Sus scrofa: one gene and its partners. The protein of the gene in region 1 interacts with the protein of each later gene in a pairwise test. Links are inferred from orthologs where the notes say so. Each region holds a gene or a part of one and is shown in the gene's direction. Other genes may lie near its edges. The genes, in order: FHL3, KIRREL2 and THEG.

What was found.
Region 2: the proteins of FHL3 (region 1) and KIRREL2 interact in binary tests that used the Homo sapiens proteins (3 or more experiments, as listed by UniProt). The two-hybrid records come from large-scale screens. The link is inferred for Sus scrofa from reciprocal best matches to the Homo sapiens genes FHL3 and KIRREL2.
Region 3: the proteins of FHL3 (region 1) and THEG interact in binary tests that used the Homo sapiens proteins (3 or more experiments, as listed by UniProt). The two-hybrid records come from large-scale screens. The link is inferred for Sus scrofa from reciprocal best matches to the Homo sapiens genes FHL3 and SPMAP2.

What each region holds. Positions count from the first base shown.
Region 1 is NC_010448.4:93,983,199-93,993,151, reverse strand, and holds the start of FHL3 (four and a half LIM domains protein 3), read left to right. Parts: upstream 1-4,583; 5' UTR 4,584-4,624; coding exon 4,625-4,636; intron 4,637-5,286; exon of another isoform or gene 5,287-5,440; intron 5,441-9,953. UniProt on the Homo sapiens protein: Recruited by SOX15 to FOXK1 promoters where it acts as a transcriptional coactivator of FOXK1.
Region 2 is NC_010448.4:45,271,996-45,281,948, forward strand, and holds the start of KIRREL2 (kin of IRRE-like protein 2), read left to right. Parts: upstream 1-3,741; 5' UTR 3,742-3,956; coding exon 3,957-4,011; intron 4,012-4,221; coding exon 4,222-4,371; intron 4,372-5,232; coding exon 5,233-5,382; intron 5,383-5,543; coding exon 5,544-5,704; intron 5,705-6,096; coding exon 6,097-6,256; intron 6,257-6,489; coding exon 6,490-6,595; intron 6,596-6,708; coding exon 6,709-6,857; intron 6,858-7,230; coding exon 7,231-7,358; intron 7,359-7,448; coding exon 7,449-7,581; intron 7,582-7,841; coding exon 7,842-7,942; intron 7,943-8,090; coding exon 8,091-8,310; intron 8,311-8,787; coding exon 8,788-8,892; intron 8,893-9,196; coding exon 9,197-9,297; intron 9,298-9,647; coding exon 9,648-9,713; intron 9,714-9,953. UniProt on the Homo sapiens protein: May regulate basal insulin secretion.
Region 3 is NC_010444.4:77,890,045-77,899,997, forward strand, and holds the start of THEG (testicular haploid expressed gene protein), read left to right. Parts: upstream 1-4,498; coding exon 4,499-4,806; intron 4,807-5,731; coding exon 5,732-5,848; intron 5,849-6,047; coding exon 6,048-6,119; intron 6,120-6,616; coding exon 6,617-6,678; intron 6,679-7,217; coding exon 7,218-7,287; intron 7,288-8,006; coding exon 8,007-8,124; intron 8,125-9,953. UniProt on the Homo sapiens protein: May be involved (but not essential) in spermatogenesis.

The sequences.
Region 1 (9,953 bases):
TCTCATCTATAAAGCAAGGATAATAATAGCATGCACTGCTTGCCTCATAGGGCGGTCAAAGAGCTCATAGTTGAACGAAGGAGTCATATCATGGCATTAATTACAGAGTTCTAAGTCTCTCACACCCTCAAGGTGTGGCTGACAGAATGAGTGTCAGAGGCAGTACCATGTAATGATTAGGACCATAAACCACGGAGGTGTGTTCTGATCCTAACTGTTAGCAGCCAAAACAAAGTTAGCTTCACTGAACCTTATCTCCCATCTGTAAAATGGAGGTAATAATACTATACTACAGGATTGTTGTGAGAATAAAATGTTTAAATGTTTAAAGTCCTTAATACTCTGTTCGCCCATTAGTAAGTTCACAATTTATTGGACCTATTATTGTTATTATTGTTGTAATACTAAACATACTTGTAAGGATAGATAGAGAGTTGGGCACAGCGGAGCATTCCAGGGGCATTTGGCTTCTTTTCCACCATGTGAAGTTAACCTTTAGCAAGTTCTGTAATTGCATCTGCGTCTTTTTTATTTTATTTGTTTATTTATTTATTTTTGCTTTTTAGGGCTGCATCCATGGCATATGGAATTTCTCAGGCTAGAGGTCCAATCCAAGCTACAGCTGCCAGCCTACACCACAGCCACAGCAATGCTGTAGGATCCAAGCTGCATCTGTGACCTACACCACAGCTCAGAGCAACACCGGATACTTAACCCACTGAGCAAGGTCAGGGATTGAACATGTGTCCTCATGGATACTAGTCCAGTTCGTTACCGCTAAGCTACAACGGGAACTCTGCACCTGTGTCTCTTGACAGGGCTCAACCCTGCAGCTGAAGAACTCTGGGGAAATCCTTTTCTCAGTCCCCAGAGGTGCAAATCCAGTAAACCAGTGGGCATGTAAAAGCTGAAAGTCGGTGAGATCTGCTGTGGAAGAAGTTTTTCCTGCTTCTCAATCTGAGCCTTGCCCAACTAGGACCAAACACAGTAACAAAATTGCATCTCATTTGTTACTTAACCATTAAAAGACAAGAACCTTCATGATCTGGCCCACGCCCACCTTTCCAACCTCATCTCTTTTAAGAAGCCCAGGAGTTCTCCTATGCTGCAGCAGGTTAAGGATCCGGCATTCTCATTGCAGCAGCTCGTGTTGCTACTGTGGTGTGGGTTCAGTCCTGGCCTGGGAACTTACATATGTCACAGGTGTGGCCCCAAAAAATAAATTAATTAATAGGAAGCCCAGCCATCAGACAGAGTGCCCAGATGGCAGCCCCAGTAGCTCCTGCCACTTCCCCTGATGAAGGCATGCAGTGGTGAGCACACCCAGGAGAAGGCAGCTGTGCCCTGGAAGGGAAAGGAGGGGGTCCTCCAGTCAGCCACAGATTTGAATTGCACATCCACCGCCTATCAGCTTGTGATTTAGGGCCACACTGTCAAACCTTCTGAGCCCCATATCCTACTCTGTAAAATAGCAATAATATAATAAGCATTTCTTACGGCTTTTGTGAGAACTGAGGGAAGGAATGACTGTTACTTAGCATTGTACCATGCATGTAGCTGGCATTTAACCATAGGTGGAGTTCCTGTCGTGGCGCAGTGATTAATGAATCCGACTAGGAACCGTGAGGTTGCAGGTTCGATCCCTGGTCTTGCTCAGTGGGTTAAGGATCCGGCATTGCCATGAGCTGTGGTGTAGGTCGCAGACGCGGCTCGGAACCTGCATTGCTGTGGCTCTGGCGTAGGCCGGTGCCTACAGCTCCGATTAGACCTCTAGCCTGGGAACCTCCATATGCCGTGGGAGTGGCCCAAGAAAATGGCAAAAAGATGAAAAAAACCCAAAACCATAGGTTATTTTCCCTCTACCATTCCTCCCCACACTCTGTAGAAGTCACTCACTTAACATCTGCACCCACAGACCCAATGCCAGGCTTGGGCTCACAAGGAAAGTGCTTCTGGGCAATCTGAAAGAGGGTGTCTGCTTAGCCAGGAGGACTGCAGGGGCTGTATTCAGCCCAGTGGATAAGAGTGAGCAATACACCCAGAGAAAGAAGGAAGTTTTCTCACTGGGGGGAGGGGGAGGACTTGTGGTTACAAGCATCAGGAGTGATTCAGCACCCAGAGGAAACCACGAGAGGCCTGCCAGCCTTCAGTCACCCAGGGCCTCCTTTTGAAAACACTGCCAAAGTGAAAGAAGAGCTGGGAGACCCCAAGCAAGCCCCCTTCCACCACAAGATAAGGAACAGGAATGGTAGATGGAGACCTCCAGGGTGGGTGAAGGGACAACCAGATCCTACTCATCCAAAGCCAGTTGGCCAGCACTCAGGCTCTGCTTCCAGCCCCAGCTCAGACACACCTGTTCCCTGGAGCAGGGAGGAGGACTGATGGGGAACAGGAACAGGGAGTCCATGAGGCTGATCCCTAGATGTCCCTGGGGCACGTCCACCTGGGCCAACGGAAATAGAGCAAGCAGGGAAATGTGAGCCCATTAGGGAGCTGGAAATGGGGAGGGGAAAGGATCCAGCCCCTGCCATTCGCCAGTCTCTCTCTCAGTCTGGGCTGACTCAGAAATCTCCTAACCTTCCCGGGGCCCCAAGACTCCAAGTCCAAGAAGCGAAACCTCAAAACCTCAACACTTGACCAGGAAAGAGAGTATTTAGTGGTGGTGATGGAGGGCATCCTACATACAGAATAGCCTCTCTGTGCTTTCATCTGATCCTCATAAAAATGCTGTGTGCCAGGGAGTCCACCCCCTTTTTTTGCTTTTTCTTTTTTTTTGCTTTTTTGCTTTTTAGGGCCGCACTCGAGGCATATGGAGGTTCCCAGGCTAGGGGGAGCTGCAACTGCTGGCCTACGCCACAGCCACAGCAATGCAGGATCTGAGCCCTGTCTGCAACCTACACCACAGCTCACGGCAATGCGGCAATGCCGGATCCTTAACCTACTGAGCAAGGCCAGGTATTGAACCCGCATTCTAATGGATCCTAGTAGGGTTCGTTAACCACTGAGCCACGAAGGGAACTCCCGGGAGTCCACCACTCTTAGCAGATGAGAGACTGAGGCTTTAAGAGGTTAACTGACTACAGAGGCTCTAGAGCCTAAAGATGAAGCACTTTTTTTAGCATAAGGAGCCTTGACATTTGATTGTCTGGATTTGAATCCAGGCTTTGCTATTATTAGCTGTATCACCCTTGGCAGCTACTTACTTTCTCTGTGTCTCCATGTTCTCATCCTCAAAATAAGGATAAAAATACATATTTCACAAAGTTGATGGATAATCAAGTGCATTAATATATGCAAAGTACTTAGAGTCTGGTGCAAAGTAAAAACTCAGGGAATATTGGCTCTTTGTGAGTAAAACCAGAGACCAGCCCCTCCAACTCTGCCTTTGGTCCAGCACCTTCCTTATTCAGTCATAACCCCTTCCTTTCTGAAGGCTGTTGACCTTTGCCCTCCCCTCAGCCCAGAGCAAACCCCTTCTTTTTTATTTTTTTGCTTTTTAAGGCCGCATTCACAACATATGGAAGTTCCCAGGCTGGGAGTCAAATCAAAGCTACAGCTGCCAGCCTACACAGCCACCACAGCCACTGCAACAAGGGATCCCCGACTCACTGAGGGAGGCCAGGAATCAAACCCACATCCTCATGGATACTAGTCGGATTTGTTTCCACTGTGCCACAACTGGGAACTCCCAGTAAACCCTTTCTTGCCCTCATCCAACCAGGCAGTCTTCCCTGCACTCCCCAGGGCTGGGAGTCTCCTACACCTGCAAGATAAGTTCCAGAGCAAGGGTCAACACAGGCACTGGCTGCTTCCTCCCCGGACTCCAGAAGCATATGCCTGCAGTCCAATCCGGGCACCTAAGGGTCCAATGACATGGAAGCAGTGTTTGTCACTCATTCATTCATCAGATATTTATTAAGTGCCAGAATCAGAAGGACCTGGTCCCTGCCCTCATGGCCCTTACAGTTTAGGCATGAGGAACAATGATAATTAACAAGCAGTTAGTTAATTTTGAAAGGAAACCTGGCCTCCAGGGTGTCTTGGGGCCCTCAGGCAGGCATGGGATTCAGAGGTTGGAGAGGAGGGTACTCAGGAGCCCCAGCCTGGGAAGGAATGAGTCTCTGCCCAGGGAGCTTGTTTGGACCCAGCCTGGGGGATGGGAGAGCCTCTCTGGGCACCTGAACCTCTACTCTAGACCCTGAGGTTATTTCCAGGGTTGGTTTGTTGTCTCTTGTTTTGCAAACAGCCCAGCAGAGCCTCCTCCTCCCTCCCCAACCCTTCCAGACCATGGCTATTTATTCCTAGTGACAAGCCTGAGGATCCCAGGGGGGTTGGCCTCAAGGACCTGGAGGGGCCTTGTGTCCCTGGCAGGCGCCAGTCCTCCCTCCCCGCAGGGCAGGACCCAGGGAGGAAGCCAGAAGGTTAGAAACTGCAGAGGTCGGGGAGAAGAACTTCTCTCCACCACCCCTGCAGCGCCCTGTCCATGCACACTCCTCACACTCCTTCCTGAGAAGCTCAAAAACCACGGGGGGGGGGGGGAAGGATTAGGGTATCCCCTGGGCCTCAAAGGTCAAAACTATTCCTGGACACAGTGAAAACCAAGGGAGGATTTCTCTGTTCCACCATGCAGCAGGAGGTGAGGAGGTGGTTACTCGTTTTCACGCTCAGGGTGGGAGAATAAAGCCCTTTGAAGGTCAAGGCCCTCTGGAGGGGGTCCTTGCTTCACTCCTGGTTTCCGCGGAACACCTAGGTTCCCACTTACAGAGCTGTGACAGCAGGGCCAAGCCCCCAGCCCCACCCCCAGGCTGGAATGAGTCCTCTAGTACACCTTCGGGCAGTGTGATCCCTGGGGGTAAACTGGGAGGGGGCGAGGACACGAAGAGGGCATGAGGTCCCCAAATGGACCTTGGTCGGCTGCCTCCTGTATCCTTTGCCCGAGATTGAACACAGCTAACCGCTGGGGGTGGGGGGGGGCCGGGAGAGGGGGCGAGCAAGGAGGGAGGACAGCAAAAGCTGCAGGGAGGGGACAGGGGCGGGGTCCTGGCCGCTCGGGAAGGTTGCGAGAGCCAGGTTAGGCCTGGAAGGCCGAGGGGGCTGGGGCTGGCTCCGATCTAAAAGGGAGGTGGGGGCGGGGTCTGCCCCCCTCCCCAGCCCCTAGCCACGGGGACCTGGGGCCGGGGGCGGGGTCCGCACCCCGCGGGCAGGGGCGGCCGGGGGCGGGGTCCGGGCGGGGCGGGCCCCAGCGCTCACTTCCTCGAGGAGGGGTTGGGGCCGCGCTCCCACTCGCCCACACAGTCCGTGTGCAGCCGGCAGCCTAGCCGGTAGCTCGCTCGGCCCCGCTCGGCCTGGCCCGCAGGTAGGAGCCGCCGAGGGACGCGGCCCCGGCTGCCCGGCCCTCCCTGCTCGAGCGCCGCGCCTCGCTCCCGCCGCCCGCTTCGAGGTGAGCTCCGCGCCGAGCCCCGCTCCCCATCCCGGCTCCCGGCCCTCGCCCTCGGGCGGGAAGGTAGAGGCGACCCACCGGGGGTTCAGAGCAGCCATGGCCCCCGCCTCTTGCCCTTTGCCTCCGCCGGGGTCCGGCCGCGGGCGCCAGGGACGCTCTGGGAGCCGGTGGCGCGGGGGCGCCGAGCCCTGAGGGGCGCCACGGGGACCGCACCGCCCCGGGCCTCCTGGCGGGGCGGGCGCTGCTACGCGAGTTGGGCGGGGGAAGGGGGCCAAGTTTGAAATGGAAAACCAGCGTCGAGAGCTACCGGGAGGGTTCGAGAAACCGGCTTCCAAAAAGCCTGGTGGAGCCAGAAACCGAGACAGCATAAGGAGTGACAAGCTTGGAGAGGAGGCTGCAGAGATTCCCGAAACAGGGACAGAGACTTGGGCGTAGAGTCACCGGGAGGCAGACCCGAGGCGTAGGGACCCCTCCGAGGTTTTGTGGAGCGGAGCATTTTAAGGAAAAGCATGTAATGACCCCAGAGGTGTTGTCGGCCTTTCCCAGAGCCTTGGAAGGTTCTGGGCAAGTGAGGGGCTCCAAAGCTTAAGCTTCATTAGCCTCGTGGTAAAGCAGCCTTGGAGAGGCCTAGAAAGATCCAGAGTCTAGAGTCGGAGACACTCAGGCATAGAGATGCTAAGAGATAGAGAAGGACGGTGGGGGAGGACCAAGACATTCCACCTTTTAGAGACATTGAGATGCCAAGGCTTGGGTGGACGGAGGGAGAAATCCACCGAGGCTGTCGTTGGGAGATGGCCAGTAGAGATACAGAGACATGGAAACATAAAGACAGCTGCCAAAGTGTGCAGACACAGACGTGCTGAGTGGAGCAGAGCTAGACATCAAGAGACAGATGTCATGGAGGCACAGTGACAGCTTCCAAGACAGACCCACGGGACTCAGGCCCAAAAGACTGGGAAGTGAGGATGTGGGGAGACAGAAACTCTAGACCAGTCAATCCCCCATGAGGATCTGAGACAGTAAGACACAGCAAGAAGGAGCCCCATGCAGTCCCCCAATCAGCTCCAACTTATTTTTAAACTCAAATCTTGGGCGCACTGCTTCAGTCCAGGGGGACCCGGGGTGAATGAACTGTTCCTTTCTGTCCCCAGAGCAGCTGCTGGATCCTGCTTCCCACCCCGCCTTCCCCCAAACCGCTCTGACTCCCAGCCCTCATGGGGGGAGGGGAGAGAGCCCGGAGAGTTTGGGGTTGATGCCTAGTTGGGGGGGGAGGGAAGAGTTTGGTTTCTCCCCTCAAGTCTCTTGTGAGCTCCTGTAAGCTGGGGGAGGGTCTGTGCTGATTCTGAGTCACAGCTGTGGGACCTGGCCAGGGTCCTCCTAGACATTGTGGGGGGGAAGGGCAAAGGGGGTTGAGCGGTTGGCATGGGTACTTGGAAAGGCTTCTGGGTGTCTTCCAGTCACAGGGCTGGCAACTGGGGAGAAGAGCCAGGCTCCTGTCCCAGTGATATCACCTAGCATCTCCTGTCCCCCTGCTCTTAAATGCTGACCACCCCCTCAGCCACTGCAACATTTCTAGGGAAAGAGAAACGGACTTCAGGCTGAGAGGCAGGGGACCTAGGATCTCATACCAGAGTGACTTTGGGCATGTCTCTGCCCTGTCCCTGGCCGCCGTGCTCAGCTGTAAAACGGGGATGATGTCCTATCCCGCCTGCCGTTTGGGAGATCTGATTGGTGGTGGGTGGGCGGCATTGCACTTTGTGAGAAGCCAAACAGCACGCTAGTGTCTACTCTTCTGTACCTGTGTTGGAGATTTCAGAGTTACGCTCACTGGTGTCAGACCTGCCCCCACTGGTCTTAGTGAGCACCACGCCTGGGTCTCTTTAACGGAGAACTAAGGCTTTCCCTCCTTGTTCTCTCCCTGAGCCCACCACTGAGAATGTCAAGGTCAAGTCCCAGGCTAGCCCCCTAACCCAGGCCTGGTTGAGAAGCTGTGGTCTGATCCCAGTACGAGGAAGGGGCTAATAATCAAAACACCAAGACGACTCAGTAGCTACCAGGAGCTTTCCAAGTATCATCACATTTAACCCTGACAGCAACACTAGGAGGTGGGAAGTGGTATTAGATGGGAAAACGGGCTCAGGGAGCTTAAGTGACTTGCTCAAGATCACCCAGCTTTCTGTTTCACAGTTCAAGCTTCTCCATGCCAACCACAGCCATTTATCCAGCCGTTCTGAGGTGCAGGAGGTTCATGGGGAGGTGTCAGATGTATGTGTTTGGGCCAGGTATGGGGATGTGTGTGTTGGGGGGGGTGGGCAGCACCTGAGAGCCATCTGGTAGACCGAACAGTCTTCCCACACCCCCCTACCAGCCAAGAAGGAATACAAGACTTTGGAACCCTAGCCCTGCCAGGAAAGGGGGGCGGGGGGGAGGGGCAGAGACAGGTGGGCCTTGCTACTGTCCTTCACTCTGTCCTCACCAGAGCCCAGCTGGACGGACTAGGGGAGGAGGGATTCTGGGAAAGAAACAGAAGCCACGCCCACACCCTGTTTGGGGGGCCCCTGACTCAGAGTGGTGACTGCCTCCCAGAGGGCGGACCTAGGGCTAGCCTCGGCCTGGGAAGGTGACAGGGCTGCTGGGGACCAAGCCAGGAAGGAAGGAAAGGCCAGGGCACTCCCGGACATGGCCACACACTCCACCTGTATGGCCCCCTGCTGCCCAGTGGCTGACAGCCCAGGCCACCCTCAGATGTTGAGCCAGAGGAAACCCCGGCCTGAACTGCTGGAACCAACTGAGGAGGCGTACCCTCTACCCTACAGCTGGCCCCCAGCCTGCTCTGAAGACCCCAGTTCCTGGCGGCCTCATGCCTTGGCCTGGGGTATGAACTGAGTGTCATGGAAGAAGGGCAGCTGTGAGCTCACGACCCATACCTTCCGAAGAGCGAGGCCCTGCAGGCTCGGGGTGTCTGCTGGCGCCTGGAGTCTGAACTCCAAGCCAGAGCAACGCTTGTTGGCTAGAATTTTCTGCTGGGGATGGCTGAGAAAAGGAGGGCTTTTCCTTCAACCTGAGCCAGGCCAGGCTCTAGGGAGTGCCAGTTACTGGGGTCTAATCCGGGGGAGTGAGTTGGTGGGTTCCTTTGAACAGGCTGGGTTCATCACCCCGGGCTTGGGCTCATCGGCAGCTGTGAGAACATCCCCCCCCCCCCCCCCGCCGCTTTGGTCCTGGTGGTTCCTGTCCACACACCCCGGGATCCTAGACCTCAGAGAATGGCTTTCACATTGGAGGAGGTGGGGGTGGGGAGCTCGGAATGGAGGGCTAGGAACTGGGGCAGAAGGGACTGGGAACCCCACTTCCCTAACACTCTGTACTCCCCAAGCTCCTGCGGCAGAGGCAGCTGTGCGGATGACCTCATCCCACAAACATGCTTTGTTCCTGAGAAAATGGAAAGTGTCTGAGGTTTGGTGGGGGGCTGGGTGTCTGCAGCAACAGCTCTCAGGGCCCCCCTTGCCTGACTCCCTACCTCTGAGGGGGCCCGATTGGAGAGATGTCTTCAGTGGCTCCCACTCTCTCATGCTTCACTCCCCCAGCCGCAAACTCTTTGCGAAGCCGGGGAGAAGCTGTCTCTCCCAGAGGCAGGGGGAGGGAAATAATGACCCAGGGGATGGAAAGATTCTGGGGCTTTGCCAGTTGCTGCCAGGAGTGACGCCCGGGCAGAAGATGGCAGGAGGCACACCCCATAATCTCCAGTTCCCCTCTCCCTCCCCGAGCATCTCATTTCCCTTTTTTCTTCCCTGTTGCTGGCAAAACCTGACATCTGGCCATCTGTGTTGCCACAGCTGCTGCAGATGTTGCAGGCCAAGGCTGCCCAGGCTGGTGTGATCAGAGACCCAGCAGGAGTTGGAGGGGGGTGAGGGCAGAGGGTCCAGCTGGGGAAGCTTGGCTGTGTCCAGCTTGCAGGATTTCCTTCCTGCATTACCTTGGCCGAGCCTCTGAAGCCCTTGTTGCTGGCTTCTCCTGGGAGGGGTGGCCCAATGCGACTTCTCCCATCAGCCTCCTCCACCTCCACCATTCATTGGCCCAGCATCCTTCTTACATTCCACTGTTTCCTGGATCAGGAGGCGGGTGCAAACAGCCCATTCTCATCCCTAAGCTCCGCACTGCAGAGCTCTGGGTATAACCCTAGAGTTCCCTCCTGGGAGTCAGGAGAGCGTGACCCAGTGCTGTTCATATGGGATAGGGTGGGGTGGCTCCCTGCCCCCTACTCTTGCCCCCCTTGGGGACAGTAGGCACAGTGGAAGCTAAACAGGCTGAATACAGGGACAGGAAATGAGTCACTGACCCAGGAAAAGCCCCCTCCCCCCAGATCTGCCAGGGCCCAGATAAGAAAAGAACTTCTGCTTCCTGATTTTTTTACTGACCCCCTCTCACCCCTAATGCTAAATACAGAAATAAACTTGCAGGACCCCAGAACACCCATTACCCATCGCCACCTTCATTTCCTATGCCTCGTCTCTTG
Region 2 (9,953 bases), about 49 Mb from region 1:
GTCAGCACATGCCAGGCACATTCTTCGGAGCCTCCTCTGCCCCCATGACCCCAAGGGCCAGCCTGGCTTGGGCCAGGGGTAAGGGGGAGCGGGTCAGACCCAGGCAGTTCCAGCTCAGCGTCAGGGGCAGAGAGCTAGGCGGGCATGGGAGCAAGGCTCCCTGGCTCTTCCTACCCTGGTCCAGGACCTTCAAGTCCTTTCCTGCCCTGAGTATACAGCCCCCTCTCAGGGAGGTCAGGGATCTCTGCTGGGGAGCATGCAAGAGTGTGTGTGAGAAACCGAGTACAGATATTTTGGTGCACACAGGTGTGTCAAGGGCATGTGAGTGTGTAAGCATGCGTATGAGCCTGGGGAAGTTAAGAGTGAACTGTGATCTGTGAAAGCATGTACACTATGTGGGTGTGTAAGTGCCTAATGTGTAAGTGTGCCGGGCAGTCAGAGTGGGTGGGAGTGAAAGGCAGGGTCTGAGGCCACCAGCAATGAGCCATGCGTGGGAACCTTCTGGCAAGAGCTAAAAAGTTCTAGTTCACATAGCTTCCCTCTGTCTCTCCCTGTCTCTTCTTTCTTTCTGGGGGACTCTGTCTCTCTCCCTCCCTCTGTCCAACTCAAGTTATGTTCCTATCTTTCTCCATTGCTTTGAGACTTTCGCTCTCTGTCTCAGTGTCCTTCTCCCCTTCTCTCTACTAGGTGGTTACTCCATCACTGTGCTGAACACGTCTGTTTTTCTCTTTCTTTCTTTCTTTCTTTTTGTCTTTTTGCCTTTTCTAGGGCCACACCTGTGGCATATGGAGGTTCCCAGGCTAGGGGTCGAATCAGAGCTCTTGCCACTGGCCTACACTACAGCTACAGCAACACCAGATCCGAGCTGCATCTGTGACCTACACCACAGCTCACAGCAATGCTGGATCCTTAACCCACTGAGCGAGGCCAGGGATCGAACCCACATCCTCATGGTTCCTAGTCGATTCATTAACCCCTGAACCAGGATGGGAACTCCTGTTTTTCTCTTTCTGTCTCTATTCTCATCTCACCTCAGAGTCTCTCACACACAATGCTCAGTCAACATTTGTGGAGTTCCCTGGTGGCCCAGCAGTTAAGGTTAAGTATTCGGCATTGTCACTGCTGTGGCTCAGGTTCCATCCCTGGCCTGAGAACTTCTGCTGGTGGGGACAAAAAAATAATTTAAAAAAGATTTGGTTTCAGCCAAACTTTGTGTCTCTCTCTCTCTCTCCTTTTTTTTTTTTTTTTTTTTTGCCATTTTAGTGCCACACCCAAGACATATATATGGTGGTTTCCAGGCTAAGGGTTGAATCAGAGCTGCATTTGTGAACCGCACTACAGCTCACGGCATCACCGGATCCTTAACCCACTCAGCAAGTCAGGGAATTGAACCTGCATCCTTATGGATGCTAGCCAGATTCTTTTCCACTGTGCCACCATGGGAACTCCTGTGTCTCTTTACTTTATTTGTTTCTCCATCTGAGTCCCCCGGATTGTCACATCTTCAAATTTTATAACCATATGCTGGTTGGCCTGCCCTTTCCACCCCAGTATGCGCATACACACCCACATGGGATAAGCTTCTTCCGCCTGCTTATCTCCTGCAGGAATTGGAACTGCTCGTTTTCTCCCCCCGCCATGATCCCCCCCCAAATCTGGTCCTCCTCCAGGAACAAGATGAGGCATCTGGTCTGAGCCGCCACAGCTCCATCCTTGATGTTCCATCTAGTCTTTCTTCTTCCTTCCCATCATTGACTCCCTGCCTCCTCCCACATTCTCTCTGCCAACTGCCCCCACACCTCCTGGGGAATGGACTGGAGGCAGAGCTGGAGGCTCTGTCATAGGACCATCACCAGATGGTGTCCCTCGGGGCCACGGCGTAGAGCTGTCCATTGCTGGGACCTTTAATTAGAACAAACCTTCCACCTCACCCCACCCCCACCTTGGATGTTTTCCTTCTCTGGATGCTCCTGGGACCTCAGCCTCTCCATCTTTCCACGCCCGTGGCCCCAGAGAGACAGGAAGTGGAAACGATGTCAGGTGTCTGGAAAAACAGCCTTACTACCTGACTTCCACCCCAAGACTCGGGAGGCCTGGCCCCAAGCTCATCTTATTTCAAAATTCAGGGGCTGGAGTTCCCGTTGTGGCTCAGCGGAAATGAATCTGACTAGTATCCATGAGGACGCAGGTTCCATCTCTGGCCCCATTCAGTGGGTTAAGGATTCAGTGTTGCCGTGAGTGGTGGTGTAGGTTGCAGACGTGGCTCGAATCTGGCGTTGCTGTGGCTCTGATTCGACCCCTAGCCTGGGAACCTCCGTATGCCCTGGGTGCTGCCATAAAAAGACAAAAAAAAAAAAAAAAAAAAAAAAAATTCAGGTGCTGGTTCCCCCAAACAGAAGCCAGGAGTTCAAGGAGTCTGGACCCCCAGACCCACCGTCTCAGATGCAGGAGTCCAGGCCCACAGCCACTTCTTCCCAAGGATGGGGGAGTTCAGACCTTCAATTCTCCATCTCCCGCCCCCAAACACACACAGGACTTAGGGCAGATGTTCACTGTCTGTTGATTTTCAAATCCTCCTGGGCCTGTGTGGGGGTGGGAGAGAGATTGGTGGTTAAATCCACTGACTCTAAGACTTAAGACCAGATTTTCTGACCCCGGTCATCCTTTCCCAACTGCACTCTGCTGCAGGCAGGGCACCTAGTTGAGCCCCCAACTGCTCCTCAGAAACACAGCGTTCATGCCGTTAGCTTCTCAGTCATCCGAGATCTGAGCCCCTAGTCTTAGAATCCTGGGCGTCCATGCCCCTGCTCTTTAGGAATACAAGAATCTGAGCTCCTGAATGTGGATCCCCAGATCCTACAGGCTCAAGGATGTCAGACCCAGGGTCCCAGACCCCCAGGACCCCCCTCTGTCGGCTCAGGGTCCCACCCACCTGTCCGGCCAGCTGCGCAGCGCACGGGCGACAGCGTGGGAACGCCCCAGCTGGGCGGCTTGCAGCCGTCAGGACAAGCTGCGCGGTTCCCAGCCTCCCCGCCTGCCCCAGCCCGGGCACCGCCGCCTCCCAGCCGTCACCCGGCAACCACGGCCGAGTGGGGGCGAGGGGGTGGTCCTGGACTGCGGGGTCCTGGGAAAGGGGGAGTTGCGGGGGCTGGATTCCTGGATCTCAGGACGTGCTGTGGTTTGCAGCGGTAACGCGGCAGGCAGAGGCAGATTTTGAGAAGGGGTTTGGGGTGGGGAGAGCTGAACTCCCCTCTTCTTGGGGTCCCCGCTGCCTCCCAGGCAAACTCGGTGCCCTCTTCCTGACCCACAAGCCCAAAGGAGCCCGGGGCCCCGCCTCCCCAGGGCGCGGAAACTAGCAAGTTCCCAGGGGTTCCCATTTATAGCTCGGTTTCCACTCAGCGCTGTCCCTCCAGGACCCAGGCTGAGCAAGTTTCTTCCACTCCCTCCCCATTCTCCTCCGCAACCCCCCCAAACCCCCAACCCTGGCAGGTTGTAGGTGTCCAACCCAGCCGGTACCCCTTCCTTCGACCCAGGTGTTCCAGCGCCCGGACCGAAAGGGGGCTGGGGTGTCCGCCCGCTGGGGGGGGCCCGCCCCCGCCCTGCATGCTCCCATTCATCCGCGTCTGGGCCGCGGGAGTTTCTCAATGGGAAGAGGGCGGGTCTCCCAGGGGGCGGGCCAGGGCGGGGCGAGTGGCATCCGACCTCCCCTTTCTCTCCCAGACCCAGCGCGCCGAACCCGCCAGCGTTTCAGAGCCGGGGAGCCCGAGGCGGAGCAGACGAGGAGAACTCCAGGAGAGATACTGGGGGGCTTCTAGCCTGAGGCGACGAGTCGGGCTTGAAGGGGGCTCCAGAGGGGTGGGGGGTGTGCTATTGACGAAGGAGCTCTCAGGGAAGCCGGAGCTGCAGGGAAGCCGGTGCAACAGCGAGTCTGCTAGACCTTGGGGCTCACACTCAGGATGCTGGTCCCCACACTCCTTGTCCTCTTCTTCCTCTTCCTCAGAGGGCGTGCAGGTACCGTGAGGGGTTGTTTGCCAGCTGTCGCTTTACAGGGGTGGCTGGGGCTGAGGGTCTGGACTCCTGGGTCTGAAGGAGGAGAACTCTGGGAGCCTGGGCTTCTGGGTCTGAGGGAAGAGGGGTTTGGGGTCTGGACTCCTGGGTCCTAAATGAGGGAGTTCTTGAATGTGCTAAGCTCTGCTCTGCTCCCCCGCCCCACTCTCCTAGGCCTGTTACCCCACTTCCTGCAACAGCCCGAGGACCTGGTAGTACTGCTGGGGGACGAGGCTCGGCTGCCCTGTGCCCTGGGCGCCTACTGGGGGCTGGTTCAGTGGACTAAGGATGGACTGGCTCTAGGCGGTGAAAGGGACCTGCCAGGTGAGGCTTTCTCTCTATTCAGGGCGGCCTGGATTTGGGCTATCGCTGAAGTTTCAATTTTAACGTTTTCGAGTCTGGGAAACTACTGGGCTCAGGCAAACATTTGGGAGTCCTGAATTTTCAGCTTCTTCTTTGGAGGTGACCCCTAGGGTTTGGACTTTTTATTTTTATTGTAAAACATGAAATACATGCAGAAAAGCACATAAAGCATATATGAAGTTTTGCCAAATAATTCTAAAATAGACACTCGTGTAACCACTACAGGTCCATGGCCAGCTCCCCAGAAACTCTCCTTATTCCCCTCCCTTATCCTATGCCCTCCCTCCTCACCCAAGAGGTAGCATATAGTCTGACTTTTTTCTTTCTTTTTTCTTTTTTTTTTTTTTTTTTTTTTTGTCTTTTTGCCATTTCTTGGGCTGCTCCCGCAGCATATGGAGGTTCCCAGGCTAGGGGTCTAATCGGAGCTGTAGCCACCAGCCTACGCCAGAGCCACAGCAACGTGGGATCCGAGCCGCATCTGCAACCTACACCACAGCTCACAGCAACGCCAGATCCTTAACCCACTGAGCAAGGCCAGGGATCGAACCCGAAACCTCATGGTTCCTAGTCGGATTCGTTAACCACTGAGCCGCGACGGGAACTCCTATAGTCTGACTTTTATGGCAAGTGTTTTCTTGTGCTTTTTCTCCCTGAATTTATCACCCCCAAGTTTGCAATGACTCTGGGTTGGGAGAGGGTTAGTGTTTCTCTGGCCCAGTGTCCACTTTTGGTAGTGTTCTTCTGGGGTGGGATGTCTGGGGATGGAGATCTGGGGCCAGGAACTCAGAACCATTGCTGTGACTGCCTTTTCCCTGACTCTAGGGTGGTCCCGGTACTGGATATCTGGGAATGCAGCTGGTGGCCAGCACGACCTCCACATTAGGCCTGTGGAGCTGGAGGATCAAGCATCGTATGAATGTCAGGCTACACAAGCAGGTCTCCGCTCTCGACCAGCCCAATTGCACGTGCTGGGTGAGGATCCAGCCCACATGTCCCCAGGGAGCCCAGGAGGACTGCCTGCATTAGCTGGGAGTATCGGAGTCCAGAGAGAATGGAGGAGTGGTGGGTTAGAGCTGGGAAATCAGGATCTATGGGCCCAGGATCCAGCTCTGACCCCAGATCCACCCCTACAGTGCCCCCAGAAGCCCCCCAGGTGCTGGGCGGCCCCTCTGTGTCTCTGGTTGCTGGGATTCCTGCAAATCTGACCTGCCGGAGTCGTGGGGATGCCCACCCCACTCCTGAGCTGCTGTGGTTCCGAGATGGGGTCCAGCTGGATGGGGCTACCTTCCATCAGGTCAGGTCTAAGTCTCTGTGCCAGCCCTTGCTCATGCAGGGAAATTTGGGGACCCACACATCACAGGCTCATCCAGAGGAGAAAAGGGCATGGGAGGACAGGGATTCAAGGCTTAGGATCCTTGGTATGCCATTAAGGATAAGGACTCTAGGGCCAGACTACCTGGGTTCAAATCCTGGCTCAGCTGCTTGCTAGTTGATGGATCTTAGACTCGCTGTCCCTCAGTTTATTTATCGGCACAATGGGCTTAGTAGTCGTGTGCACCTCTAGGGTAGTTGTGAAGATTAAATACCATAATATTTATAAATGCCTAGAAGAGTGCCTGACATAGAGTAAGAATTACAGTAAGTGTAGATGAAGTCATTATTATTATTATTATTCATAAACGACAGACCCTGTTGAAGGAAGGAACCACTGGGTCTACTGGGTCAGTGGAGAGCATCTTATCCTTGACGCCTTCCAGCCATGATGATGGAGCAACCTTGGTTTGCCGGGCCCGGAGCCAGGCCCTCCCTGTGGGAAAGGACACGGCTATCACACTGAGCCTGCAGTGTGAGTGCAGTTGAACACTAGGTTTGGAGCCTGAGGTCCTTGGAGAAAGCAGGGGGCCAGGGCCTGGACTTCAGGGAAAGAGGGGGGCCGTGGGCCCAAGGGGATTTGGGACATTTCAGCCTAAATCCTTGCTGAAAGGGAAGAGGAGACTAGGGTCTCGGACTCCTAGGGTGGAGAGGCTGCAAACTGGACTCCTAGGTCATCAGCCACTGACCATTGACACACCTCCACAGACCCCCCAGTGGTGACTCTGTCTGCAGAACCACAGAGAGTGCAGGAGGGAGAAAAGGTCACTTTCCTATGTCAGGCCACAGCCCAGCCTCCTGTCACCGGCTATAGGTGAGGACGAAGATCATCTCTCCCCACCTGGAAGGGCTTGGGGAGGGCTGGGGCTAGGATGTGAGTAGGTGTGCCTGAGCAGCAAGGACACTAACAGCCCACCGCCTTCGCAGGTGGGCAAAGGGGGGCTCCCCGGTGCTCGGGGCCCGCGGGCCAATGTTGGAGGTAGTAGCGGATGCTTCATTCCTGACTGAGCCGGTGTCCTGCGAAGTCAGCAATGCAGTGGGTAGCGCCAACCGCAGCACAGCTCTGGATGTGCAGTGTAAGAGCGGCGGCGAGGCCATGGGTGTGGCCAAATGTGGGGCGAGCAAAATGGGCCAGGGGGCTACTGCGGGGCTTGGCTGCTACGGGTTGAGGGGAGGAGGTGGGGCAGGGGTAGGATTTAGGCGGGATAAGTCTGTGCTGGATCTGGGCCAAAGTGGAGCAGGGGCGGGGCAAGGGGGGGCTGGAGACTGTGAGCGGAGTTGTGGACTGGGGGCTTTAACTCAATGGGCCCTTGTGGGTGTTGTCCCTGAGGGGCTGATCCCGAGTCAGAAGTTGCAGTCCTCCCTGGTCATGTGATTCTCTCTCTCTCTCTCTGTCTCTCTCTCTGTCTCTCTCTCTGTCTCTCTCTCTCCTTTCTCCCTATTCTCCAGTCGGGCCGATTCTGCAGTCAAAGCCAAAACCCTTGTCCGTAGACGTGGGGGAAGATGCCTCCTTCAGCTGTGTCTGGCGCGGGAATCCACTCCCACGGGTAACCTGGACCCGCCGCGGGGAAGCACAGGTGAGGCAGGATCTGGGGCTTACAGCCGTGGCTGGCAGTGGCCGGGGCTTCTTTTCAAGGTCCTGCCCTTGACACCACTTCCTATCCCAGGTGATGGCCTCCGGGCCCACTCTGCGTCTTCCAGCTGTGGGACTCGAGGATGCAGGCGACTACGTGTGCAGGGCTGAGCCTGGGCTCTCGGGCCTGGGGGGCGGCGCTGCGGAAGCTAGGTTAACTGTGAACGGTGAGAAAGCGGCGCTTCCTAGTGGACCCCACAGGTCTTGGGATAAAAGTGGGCTCCTTGTGAGGGAGCTTAACAGACTGCGGGACCTGGGAACTGCCGCGGGACCTAGCTGAGACAAGCCTCGGTGGGGTTCACAGTTTGTTGAGAGGCGTCGCCTAGTCGGTTGGGGTTGGTGGGTGTGCCCAGTCATGACCCCGCCTTCTTGAGGAGGAGCTGGGGGCGGGGCCTCTTCTCTGATTGGCCCACTGTCTCCAAACCAGCTCCCCCAGTAGTGACTGCCCTGCACTCTGCGCCCGCCTTCCTGAGGGGTCCCGCCCGTCTCCAGTGTCTTGTCTTCGCCTCCCCCGCCCCAGAAGCCGTGGTAAGGAAATCCCCATCCAGCGGTGATCCCGGACCTCCAGCCGGACTCCCAAAACTGCTGTATTACCAACACTGACTCTACCGACACCTTGCCGCCCCTTCCCCCACTCCATGGTTTCTTCTGTGGCCTTTCTCTTTTGTGCCCCCAGGTCTGGTCTTGGGATGAGGGCTTCCTGACGGCGGGGTCGCGGGGTCGGTTCCTGGTGGAGACATTTCCAGCCCCAGAGGGCCGCGGGGGACAGGGTCCAGGCCTGATCTCTGTGCTACACATTTCGGGGACCCAGGAGTCCGACTTTAGCCGGGGCTTCAACTGCAGTGCCCGGAACCGGTTGGGCGAGGGGGGCACCCTGGTCACCCTGGGACGTAGAGGTGAGACCCTGGACCCGAAGAGCCCAAATCTGACTTCAGAGCCCCCAAATGCCACAATCTCCAAACAGAGGACCTTCAAATGCAGAGACCCCTAAACCTTAAGAGCCTTAAAACTGAGTCGACTTGCATCCTGAGACCTACCCCACCCCCAAACAATCATTTCCCTCAAGTACGGAATTCTAAACTGAGAGGCCCCTCACACTTAGAGGCTCCAAAAAAAAGCAACCTTCAAATACAGAGAATTGTAAAGTAACAGTACCCTCAAGCTCTAAGCCAAGGAGTTTAAACTTGTAAAACCCAAGTTCCTGAGCCCCTAAACCTAGGGACTCCAAGCTAGAGGACTACAAAACTTGGGAGTCCCCGAATTGGTGACCTGTGAACCCAGAGATCCCCTACCTAAGCCTTGAGTCCTGTTCCCCTGTTCCTGCTCAGTCTTCTGCTCAGCCTCCTTAGGACAACCCCCTCTACTTCCTGCAGACTTGCTGCCTACTGTGCGGATCGTGGCGGGAGCAGCTGCTGTTGCCATGACTCTTCTTATGGTCATCACTGGGGTGGCCCTCTGTTGCTGGCACCATAACAAGGGTCAGTGCCTGACCCCCACCCCAGGTCCACACACAGGCCCTACCCACTGGGACCTGGTCCTAGTCCTGCCTCTCTAGACCCTCCCTGGGCTTGGCTTACATTCAGGACCTGCTGCCCCACTCCAGCTCTACCTCCATGTCCTCAGGGTCACACCACTTGCCCTCCTAAGCCAGGGTTCTCATTGGTTCCCAGCCTCCCAACCTGATTTGCCCCAGTCCTCTCTCTTCCTGCTCATGGGTCCCACAAACCATGACTCAGCCCCCTTGCTTACCTCTGCTCCCACCCCCAATGTCCCTGGCCTCAGCCTCTTTCTCCAAGCAAAAGAACCTGGTGAGAATCCAAGGCAGCAGTGACGGCTCCAGTTCCAGGGGCCCTGAGGAGGAGACAGGCAGCGGTGAGGACCAGGTAGGATGCCAGGGTCCCCAGACCTGACTATACCCCAAGACCCAAACAGTAACCCAGTCCCAATCATGACCCTAGCCCTATCACCTCCCCAACTTAAACAGAGCCCTAATCCCAATGGCGACCCCTGGATCCAAGTGTCCGTGAAGTCCAAACATGCCCCTGGTCCAATTATTCCTCCCAACATGCCCTCCCACCCCAGGGCTACTTGTGGTCCTAAATCCAGACCCCCAGCTCCCAGGTGCCCCTGGTCCCTCCTGCCTGGCATCAGATGTTCAACTGAAGGTCCCTGGGGTCTAGCGCTGGGATCAAAGGATCCTCTACACTCCCTCTCACTAAGCACCCTACCCTAGGGCCCCATCATGCACACAGACCACAGTGACCTCGTTCTGGATGAGGAGAGGGCTCTGGAGACCAAGGTGAGCGTTGGGAAAAGAGGGGCTCTGTTCAATGTGTCTCCAACTCCCCCTCCTTTTTCATTCAGTTGCCCTCAGAGCTGGCACCTACCCCCCTGCACCCATTCTTGCTGCCTCCTGGGCTGTATATCTGCTGACTCTGCCCATATATCTGCCCAGCCTTGCCCTCCACCTTGAGCTCCAGATCAATGTTCCCTCTGCCTGTGCTTTCCCCATCAGTTGTGTTTCAGGCCCAGATGCCTC
Region 3 (9,953 bases), on another chromosome or scaffold:
CTGAAAAATCTGCCGATAACCTTATCAGGGTTCCCTTGTATTTTATTTGTTTCTTTTCCCTGGCTGCTTTCAATATTTTCTCGTTGGCTTTAGTTTTGGTCAGTTTGATTAATATGTCTCAGGGTGTTCTTCCTTGGGTTTATTTTATATGGTACTCATTGTGCTTCCCGGATTTGCATGATTCCTTCCCCACATTAGGGAACTTTTCAGCTATTATCGCGTCACATTTTTTTTTCCTGGCCCTTTACCTCTCTTTCTCCTCCTTCTGGTACTCCTAGATTATGGATGTTGGTGCATTTAACGTTATTCCTGAGTTCTCTTAGACTGTCTTCATTTCTTTTTTTTTTTTTTTTTTTTTTTGTCTTTTTAGCTATTTCTTGGGCCGCTCCCCCGGCATATGGAGGTTCCCAGGCTAGGGGTCTAATCGGAGCTGTAGCCACCAGCCTACACTGGAGTTACAGCAACACCAGATCCGAGCCATGTCTGCAACCTACACCACAGCTCACAGCAACACTGGATCCTTAACCCACTGAGCAAGGCCAGGGATCAAACCTTGCAACCTCATGGTTCCTAGTCAGATTCGTTTCCGCTGCACCACAATGGGAACTCCTTTATTTCTTTTCAATCTTTTTTCTCTTTTCTGTTTCGAACCAGTGATTTCCACTAGTCTGTCTTCCACCTTGCTTATTTGTTCTTCTGCTTCCTGTATTCTGCTCCTGGTTGCTTCTAGTGAATTTTTATATCAGTCATTGTATTTTGCATCTCTGCTTGCTTAATACTTAAATCTTCTATTTATTTTTTCGTTTCTTATAATTTATCAGTCTTTGCCCCCAGCTTATTTCCAGGATCTTGAATCATCTTTTCTATCATCAGTGTAAGGTCTTTTTCATGGAGGTTGGTAATCTCCAGATCATTTAGCTGTTTTTCTGAGGTTTTCTCTAGTTCCCTTATCTGAGTCTTAATTCTCTGCCTTTTCATTTTGTATAGATTTTTGGTATGGTCTCCTTTTTGCAGACAATAGGGTTGTAGCCTCTCTTGCTTCTGACATCTGCCCCCTTGTGGCTGAAGTTGGTACGGGGGCTTGCTGCAGTCTTCCTAAATAAATAAAATTTGATAAGAGGCCAGGCAATAAATTCAGGCAAAGCTTTATTGGTGCTTCAGCAGGAGGGAGGGAAAACAAGCAACAGTTTCCCTAGCTCACTCTCCTAGGGGTTGGTGATCTGGTTCCTTTTATGGGGTGAGGGTAAGTGTGGGTCCAGGGGGCAGGACAGAGGGGTGGCTTAGGTGGTCTGCCCATCCTTTTGGTGGCGGTGTGTGCAGGGGGCATGAATAGTACCTGCTTTTACTCTTGGCTCCTGAGAAGTGGCAATTGGATTTTTGGTCTTTTTGTATCTTGTCCATAATTTGCCCCAACTGCGCATGCACACCGTTGTTTTTAGTCCCACCTATTTTCTTTGTATTTTGTTCCTTGAGGAGATGTTTGTCCTGGTGCAAGCACTGCAGCCAAGGGTCCCAGGTCCTGGGCTGTCTTAGATTTGGTGACCTGTCTCAAAGCTAAGTGGCCTCACTTTTGAGTAAGGATTTCTTACAGAACATTGTGGTGACGATTGGTCTTTCTAGTTGCAGCAACGTGGAATTTCTTTTTTTGTGAGTCATTTTATGCAAGGTGAGGGTTTAGGACACTTGAGACCAATAATGAGATTTTCCAAGGGTCTCCCAGATGGAACTGGACACTCTCGAAGAACTTCTAGGATCCTCACAGAGGTGATGACAAGGCCACAGCCAGGAGCAAAGCATTAGAGAGACAGGATTTGGAAACGGATTTGCAAACCGCAAACAGTGAGCTTGCCCCATCCACTTGGGTCTCTGGATGGCCAGCCTGAGCTGGGCCATACTCATGTCCAGGGAGAGGGTCTTGGGCCTACCTGTGTGTTGGGGGCCCAGAGCAGAACTTGAGGGGGTGGTCAGAGACACTTCCCACACAAGAGAATGGCAGGCTGGGGTCTTAAATTGTTAGTGCAAGCCTCTGTGCCACAGTGAGGCCAAACAAAGCAAAATGTCAGAGTTTGGAGCAGAGAAAGATTTACTGCAGGGCCATGCAAGGAGATGGGTAGTTCGTACTCCCAAAATATCCTGAACTCCTCAAAATTGCAAAGTGCTTTTAAAGGCAAGGTGAGGGAGGCATGTGGTTGGCTGATGCACACTTGGCAAGGAATCCTTTGTTCTTGCAGTTGTCCGCAGAGGTCGGGTCATGATGCTTCTGTAAGCCTCCAAGATACATATTATACTTTAGAGAGGTGCTAAAGTAGAGGATATAGAGAAAGACCCTGCCCTGAGAAGGCCCCAAAAGTTTCTGCTCTGTACACAGAGAGGGTGGACGATGCAGGTCCTATGATGCCCTGAGAGGGTTTCCCAAAATCTGGATGTTGGGCCATGAGGATGCTACAACTTTCATAACAATCACCTTCTTTGATCTTCTTCTGGGACAGCCTGTTTCAAATACCAGGTGTTGCTAGAGTTATTGCTCATGAAATATTGGGGCTGGAAGAGAACATATCAGTTGGGGTGCTTTTGGCTGCAAGGAACAGGAAGCTGAGCTACAACTTAGTCCTAAGAGAACTGAATGTGTCAGGTTACAAGAAGCCCAGACACACAGAAGGCTCCAGGGTTGCCAAGTTCAGAGGTTCAACCATGCCACCAAAGACCCATCTTTTGACTCATCGGCCTCAGGCTAGCAGGTTTCATGGTCGCAAGATGGCTGCTCGAGCTCTGGACATCACACACAGTTCCAGAAATAACCAAGAAGAAGAGATAGGATCTCTTCTTCCTGTCTCCTTTCAAGAGAGAGGACCATCCCTAGAAACCCCTGGGGACTCCATCTCAGGTCCATTCCTCAGCCAATCTTGGGGAGGGGGTGGGACTCCTGGTTAACTGTCACCGCCAGCACTAACTCCTCATTTGAGCACAGATGAGAATAAATGTAGGGTGGAGCTGGGTGTGCTCCAGCACTGAGTAATTGTTCACTCAGCAGCCCTTCCCCAAGAGCCTTCTGCAGCCCCTGATCTGAGAAGGCAATTTTCTACAGTGCAGAGGTAGACACTGAAGAAGAAATAAATAAGTGAGCAGTGTAATTTTAGGCCATGCTAAATGCCTTGCAGAAGTCAAATGAGGAGCCAGGATACAGAGAGACCTGAAAATGGGCTGCCTTCCTGAGGAGGATCCCCCAGGGCATGTGTGGGAAGAGGGACCAGCAGGTGCAAAGGCCCTGAGGTGGATAAGTAACAGGGAAGAACAAATCTGACTCTGTGTTAGATCTGTTCCTTTTACTTTAACCTTACCTTAACCTTTGTGGTTTGTTGCCTGTGCTTAGTCATACTGGCTCTACACCTTTTTGCCACCTAGAGCCTGAAATATACAGGTACATCGTGACCTGACCTCTGTGGACAGTACAAGAAAAAAGGATCCCACACCAAGAAGTTGGCAACAAGCAATCACACCCCTCCTTCATGCGGTCTTTTAAAGGGATTTGTTGACAAATGAATTTATCTACAAAACAGAGACTCACAGTCATAGAGAACAGACTTGTGGTTGCCAAGGGGGGGGATAGATGGGGAATTTGGGGTTAGTAGATGCATTTAGGTATCTACTAAATGTAATAGTAGATCTTAGAATGGTAAGCAATGAGGTCCTACTGTACAGGGCAGGGGAATATATCCAGCCTCTTGGTATAGACCATGATGAAAAATAATATGAGAAGGGGAAGGTATATGGAGTTCCCATTGTGGCTCAGCAGGTTAAGAACCCAACTAATATCCATGAGGATGTGGGTTCGATCCCTGACCTCACTCAGTGGGTTAAGGATCCGGTGTTGCCATGAACTGTGGTGTTGGCCAGCAGCTGCAACTCTGATTTGACCCCTAGCCCAGGAACTTCCATATGCTGAAGATGTGGCCATAAAAAGACAAAATTAAAAAATGAAAGAAAAAAATAGAAAAAAAAAAGAAAGGGAAGGTATATATATGTATGATATATATGCTGGGTCACTTTGCTGTACAGCAGAAATTGGCACAACATTGTAAATCAAGTATGCTTTAATTAAAAAATGAATTTAAGGAGCTTTGCTGAAAGCCTTTGGGGAGCTGGGGCTTAAGGTATGAGCCACCGGTCTCCTTGCATGGCCCTGCAGTAAATCTTTCTCTGTTCCTGACTCCAGTGTTTCATTATTGTTTGGCCTCACTGTGCCTTGTTTGGTAAGGGGTCCAGGTTTATGGAGCAGGAAGGCAAGGTGGCAGGAGGGGGCCAGGTGGGGCTGAGGTTGGAGGAGTGGGCGGCCTCCCAAGGGCCTGGTGGCTGGGGGCTGCCTGGTGGTGGGCACCTGTGGATGTGGGCGTGGAATGTGGGCAGGAGAATGTGGGTGGGCCATTCTCCTGTTGCTGGGCGACCACGACTCATTTGGGTGTTGGGGAGCAAGGCTGCAGGGTTGGGAAGGACCCAGCACATGGGGGACCAGTGGCAGAGCTCACTCTATGACCACCGCACGTCGGAGGCTGAGGGCCGGCCAGAGAGGGGGCAGAAGGACAGCGCCCCGGGCCTTCCAAGCCCTGTGTATGAGAGCCGAGGGTCCAGGGACACCAAGTACCAGGACCCAGATGATGGGCAGCTGGGGCTGGAAGGCCAGGAGGAGGAGATCCCCCCGGAAGAGGTGACTGGGGAAGAATTCCTGGGTACCAAGAACCCAGAAGAGGCCCTCCCAGAGTTGGAGAAGGTTCTGGAGAAGGATGTGGAGGAGGGTGTGCCTGAGATGAGGTGCGTAGGAGGGTGGCCACCAGCCTGGGGCAGTGGGGGTGGCCCCTGGGGTGGGTGCCCCCAGGGCCTGTGACTTCATTCTAGGCTTGAGGGTGTCAGCACCTCACTGCCCCCAGGAGTAAGTCAACACACAGCCCCTGTCCAGGTGGCAGGTGAATTTGGGTGGAAAAACTCCACCAAAGCTTCAGTTCTGGAGAGTTCAGATGGCAGAGTTGAGAAGTCACAGGGGCGGCCCTCGGTCAGACAGAGAGAAGAAGAAATGGGTGAAAGCTCCCAAGCCCAAAGCCAAAACCATCTTGAGGACCACAAATTGGCAGGAAGGCTTTAGGTGGCAGGAGGATGTGTTCTGGGTGAGCTGAGAGCCTGTGTGTCTTGGAAAGAGGCAGGTGCTCCCCCCACCTGGGGACCGAGTGCCTTGTTAGTGTGTGGGGGGCATGGGTGGACCCTTCGCCTGGACTCCTGGCCCCTGCTGCTGGGTCAGCAGGCGTCCCTCCTGTGCTGCACAGGGGCCTCGTTCTCCCTGCAGAATGCCGTGGCCCCCACAGAGCCTGTGTGAGGGGCACACATTGGGGGATGTGGCTGGCGGGGCTGGGCGTGTGCTGTGCAGGGAGCAGCAGCTGTGGCTTCCTGGGGTACTCTCTGTGCTCGTCCCCTCTTGGGTCTGACCTGCATTCGGGAAGCATCTCCTTGTCTGGTGGGGCAGGAGCGGGTCTCTGCTCCCTTTCACAGAGGAGAGAACTGGGGTGGCCATCTTCAGAGCTGGGATGTCAGTCTAGTCTTTGTGATATTAGAAGTCTCCTCCAGGCAGGCCTCCTGGGAGGGGAGGGTGAGATCCTGGGGTGGGGGCGCTGAGAGCACGTGCATAGGTCTAAGGGGCTGGGGGAGTGAGCGATCTGACCTGCCCTGACTGGCCTGCTCTCCACAGCCGTCTGTCCATCTCCCAGAGGCTCCCCAGCACCTCCGTAGGCAGGGAGAGGAGGAAGAGGAGGCGGCTGTTCGAGCTGGCCAAGCCCAAGACCAACTGGCAAGTCTTGAAAGACAGGTGAGGTCTGGCTGGGGTGGGGGAAGCAGCTTCTGGTGGCCCCTCTGCCCAGCCCTCCCCTGCCTCCCCATGACCAGCTTGGGGCAGGTGCTGAGGGAGGGGAGACTGTGACCATGGTGGCCCTGGGTGCTAGTGAAGGACAGCGAGGCCTTGAGCCAGTGGAGCCCAGCGCAAAGGCGGGTGGGCCTGTCTCGTGCAGGACAGGGTGCTGCTGCAGGGGCTATGCCTGGATCGCCCCCGGCATGAGGAACCTGCAGTTCTGTGTCTACTGGTAAGTCCCAGGTGCCCCCTGCTCCTGACCATGTGGGGGCCCTTTATTCCAGCCACCCTGCCCTCTCCTGCCTGGGACAATGTTGGGGGAAGGGCTCTCCGCTGGGGTACCTCACCCTAGGATCCCACCCAAGGATCCCCTGCACCACCTGGAGCTCTGGACTCCAGTCCTTGGGTTGTGGCCTCAGGCCCCCTTCTCAGTTATGCCTCTTTTTTTTCCAGCTCCCTCCTTTGAACACCAGCCTTGCTCAAAATATCTACACCCCCCCATGATTCTGAGGCTTTCCTGTGTCCTCCCTCACCTGCCCCCTGCCCCCCACTTGCTCTCTTCTTTCTTCCCATCTGGAAGCTGCCCCCCCTCTCCAGCTGCAATGCTCCCACTTGCAGTCCCATCTTCTGTCTGTGTTTATGGGGCGCCCTGAGTTCTGCTTCTGAGTGGGACGCGGGCCACCGAGGCCCTGGCTTTCCTCACCCTGAGCCCTGCTGGGTGTGTTCTAGGCCATCCGTGTACTGGACGGAGAGGTTTCTGGAGGACACCACACTCACCATCACGGTGCCGGGTAGGTTGACCCACTCACTGCCTCCTTTCCCCAGGGGCACCTGGCCTGGTGCCTGTGGCCGGGTCACTGCATCTCACCCTGACCTGTGTCTGGCTCTGACTGGGAGACCGCTGGGCCTCCCTGAGGGACCCTGCCCCCCATCCATCTTCCAGGGTCTCCTCTCTGGAGTCTGTCCCCGCCCCAGCTGGAGGATGGTCTGGGGAGGGGTGGGGGGACAGACTCTTCAGGGGACCACAGTGCCCTTCAGCCAGAGCGGGGGCAGCCTTAGTGAAAGATCCCGTCCCTTCCTGGGGCAGCGGATCCCTTTAAATAGAACGTTTTGAGAAAGCTCATTTCTGGAGAGGTGCTCAGGGCAGGTTCTCAGAGTTTTGTTCTCAGGGAGCACAGAGGTGCTGGAAACCCAGGCCCATCCTGACTGCATACCTCCCAGCCCGCGTGCCCTGGAGCCCCAGGTGGGGGTGTCACCTGGTACAAAGCTGGGTTCGGGAGGAAGTCCTCAGGGGGTCAGTTTCAAGGGGAGTGTTCCCTGTTTTGCGCAGAGGTGTCCCGCCGGGTGGAGGAGCTGGCCCGACCTAAAAGGTTCTACTCGGAGTATTATAACAACAACAGGTAGGGGCGACTGCCTGGGAAGCTGGAACCCCTTCCCGTGTGGGGTAACGGGGGAGGGCTGTGCTCAGCTCCCCAGACAGAACCTTCTGGCTTCAGGGGCTGCAGGCCAATGCGTGGTGTCACTTCTCGCCAGCGGGGAGGGACTCCTGGACTTCTCAGACTCTGGCTTCTCATGAGCACAGAGAGGGGAAGACACTCCTGCCCACTGTGCCGAGAGCCCACCACCATTTTTTGCCCCAGCTTTGTGACAGCAGCATCTCGCCTTAATGCAGTCTGCAGGCAATCTAACCCGCTGCAACTAGACTTAGTGCAGAGTGTAGGCCTGGGCTGGCATAACCGCTGTGTGAACATCTTAGTCCAGGGACCACCCCAGGCTCTGACAGCGGCTCATCTGCTGCATTCCAGTATCGGAGCCATGAACTGCAGCTGTTTCTGGAGCAGAGGCATAGCTGAGGCCTGGTCTTCAGAGGCCAGCCCAGTGGAAGCTCTTCCCCAGTTATTTATCAATGGCAGGGCTCATACTTGCCCCAGCAGGGGTAGCTCCATCCTTGAGGATGCGAAGGGGGAGGGGGGCCTTTGAAGAATCCCTGTTGGAGGTACTTTCCCAACCTTTCACCAGGCCGGGCCCTCCCTGACCCACAGAATCAGAGAGGTGTTATGCACACACCGCAGCACAGACGGCCCCTTGGCTGAGTATCTCCCACCTGGCTCTCCCTTAGGACCACCGCAGCCTGGCCCATCCCACGCTCCACCCTGGCATACCGACCATCCCGTCGCCTGCGGGAGCTGGCCACCCCTAAGACCCGGAATAACATCTGGAGTATAAACATGTCCGAGGTGGGTGCCTCTTTCCCTAGAGCCCCCACCAGGGCTCCCATCTACCATCCAGGGGCTCTGAGGGCCCAGGAGCACAAGAGGGAACCCTCTCCAGGGCAGCAGATGCTAACTACCTTCCTGGACCACCAGGCTTCATTGGAATTGGCCTGAGAAAAGGGTTTTCTCCCTCCCCTCTGCCTCGAAGGCAGCTTGAGGACCAGCCCCCTGCCTGCCAGCTCAGAGCGGAGGCCAGGGCCTCAGCTCCCACCTCCAACGTGGGCATGACAACCCCGCCTCAGAGATCACAGAGGTCAGTCCCTTCTGAATCCAGCCCATACCTCCCTCTGACTGAGGGCTACCCTCCTCCCCAGCTCAGGCCTCACTCTGCCCCAAAGCCTGCGGCCCCTCACACCTGTGCCCTGCACACACGCCCTCCCCCCCATTAGTAGCACAGAGTTTTGCTCTCCTGGGAGGGACCCTAGAGTGGGCATCATGTACCTACCGAAGGACACGTGGTCATTTCTGGGTTTTGGTTCCTGCAAGCGTGGCTGCCATTAGCATCTGAGAATCGTGGGAACACAGTTCCATAAACTCCAGGGTAATCACCAGAGGTGGGGGCCTGGGCAGGGGGCTGGTCTGACTTTATCAGAAAATGACCACCTGTTTCCACAGTGGCTGCTTCCTCTGGCACCATCTGTCCCTTTGCTGCTTTTTCCATTCCTTTATGTCTGGCCATTCTGGAGTTCCCGTCATGGCGCAGTGGAAAGGAATCTGACTAGCAACCATGAGGTTGCAGGTTTGATCCCTGACCTCGCTCAGTGGGTTAAGGATCTGGCGTTAACGTGAGCTGTGGTGTAGGTCACAGACATGGCTCGGATCTAATGTTGCTGTGGCTGTGGTGTAGGCTGGCAGCTGTAGCTCTGATTGGACTCCTAGCCTGGGAACTTCCATATGTCATGGGTATGGCCCTAAAAAGTTAAAAAAAAAAAAAAGTCTGGCCATTCTGACGGATGTATGGGGGTTGGCACTGTGGTTTGAGTACTGTGTCAACTGGTGTTTCTGTGTGGTTGTTTGACAGACCCCCCCACCCCACACACACTGTAACACTCTTAAGAATAACCCCCTTAAAAAAAAAAAAAAAAAGAATAACCCCTTGTGGCTCAGCGGGTTAAGAACCTGACATAGTGTCCATGAGGATGTGGGTTTGATTTCCGGCCTCATTCAGTGGGTTAAGGGCATTGCTGTGAGCTGCGATGTAGGTCACATATGCAACTCAGATCTGGCGTTGCTATGGCTGTGGCATAGGCTGGCAGTTGCAGCTGTGAATTGACCCCTGGCCCCGGGAACTTCCATATGCTAAAAAGCCAACAACAACAACAACAAAGAATAAATCCAGACATCACACCACTTTTCTCTCAGACTCTTCAGTATGGATTCCTAACAGACGAGGATAGTTTGAAAACCATAAAAGCAATGGTCACATAGAAGGATTGAACAATGATGCCATAGTGTCTGAGTACCCAGCCCATGCTCCTTTTCCCATTTCTCTCAAAAAAGGCTTCGTGTTCATCTGGTTGGATCAGGATCCAAAGCAGGGCATGGGCCCTTCGACCTATCCCACCTCTTACCTGGAGATACACCTGCTGCTTCCCAGCCCCTGCCTTGCCCTTGCTGGTTCAGTTGTCAGTTTAGCCCTTCTGTGCTCCAGCACCCTCTGTGACTCCCCAGTACCCCAGAAAGGCCAGCAGGATTGGGCCCTCTCCACCCCTCCTCCCCTAGTGCCCCCTCTGCTGGACTAAGTGTAGCCCCCAGGCCTTTGCACGTGCGGTGCCCCCACCCCAGACACTGGT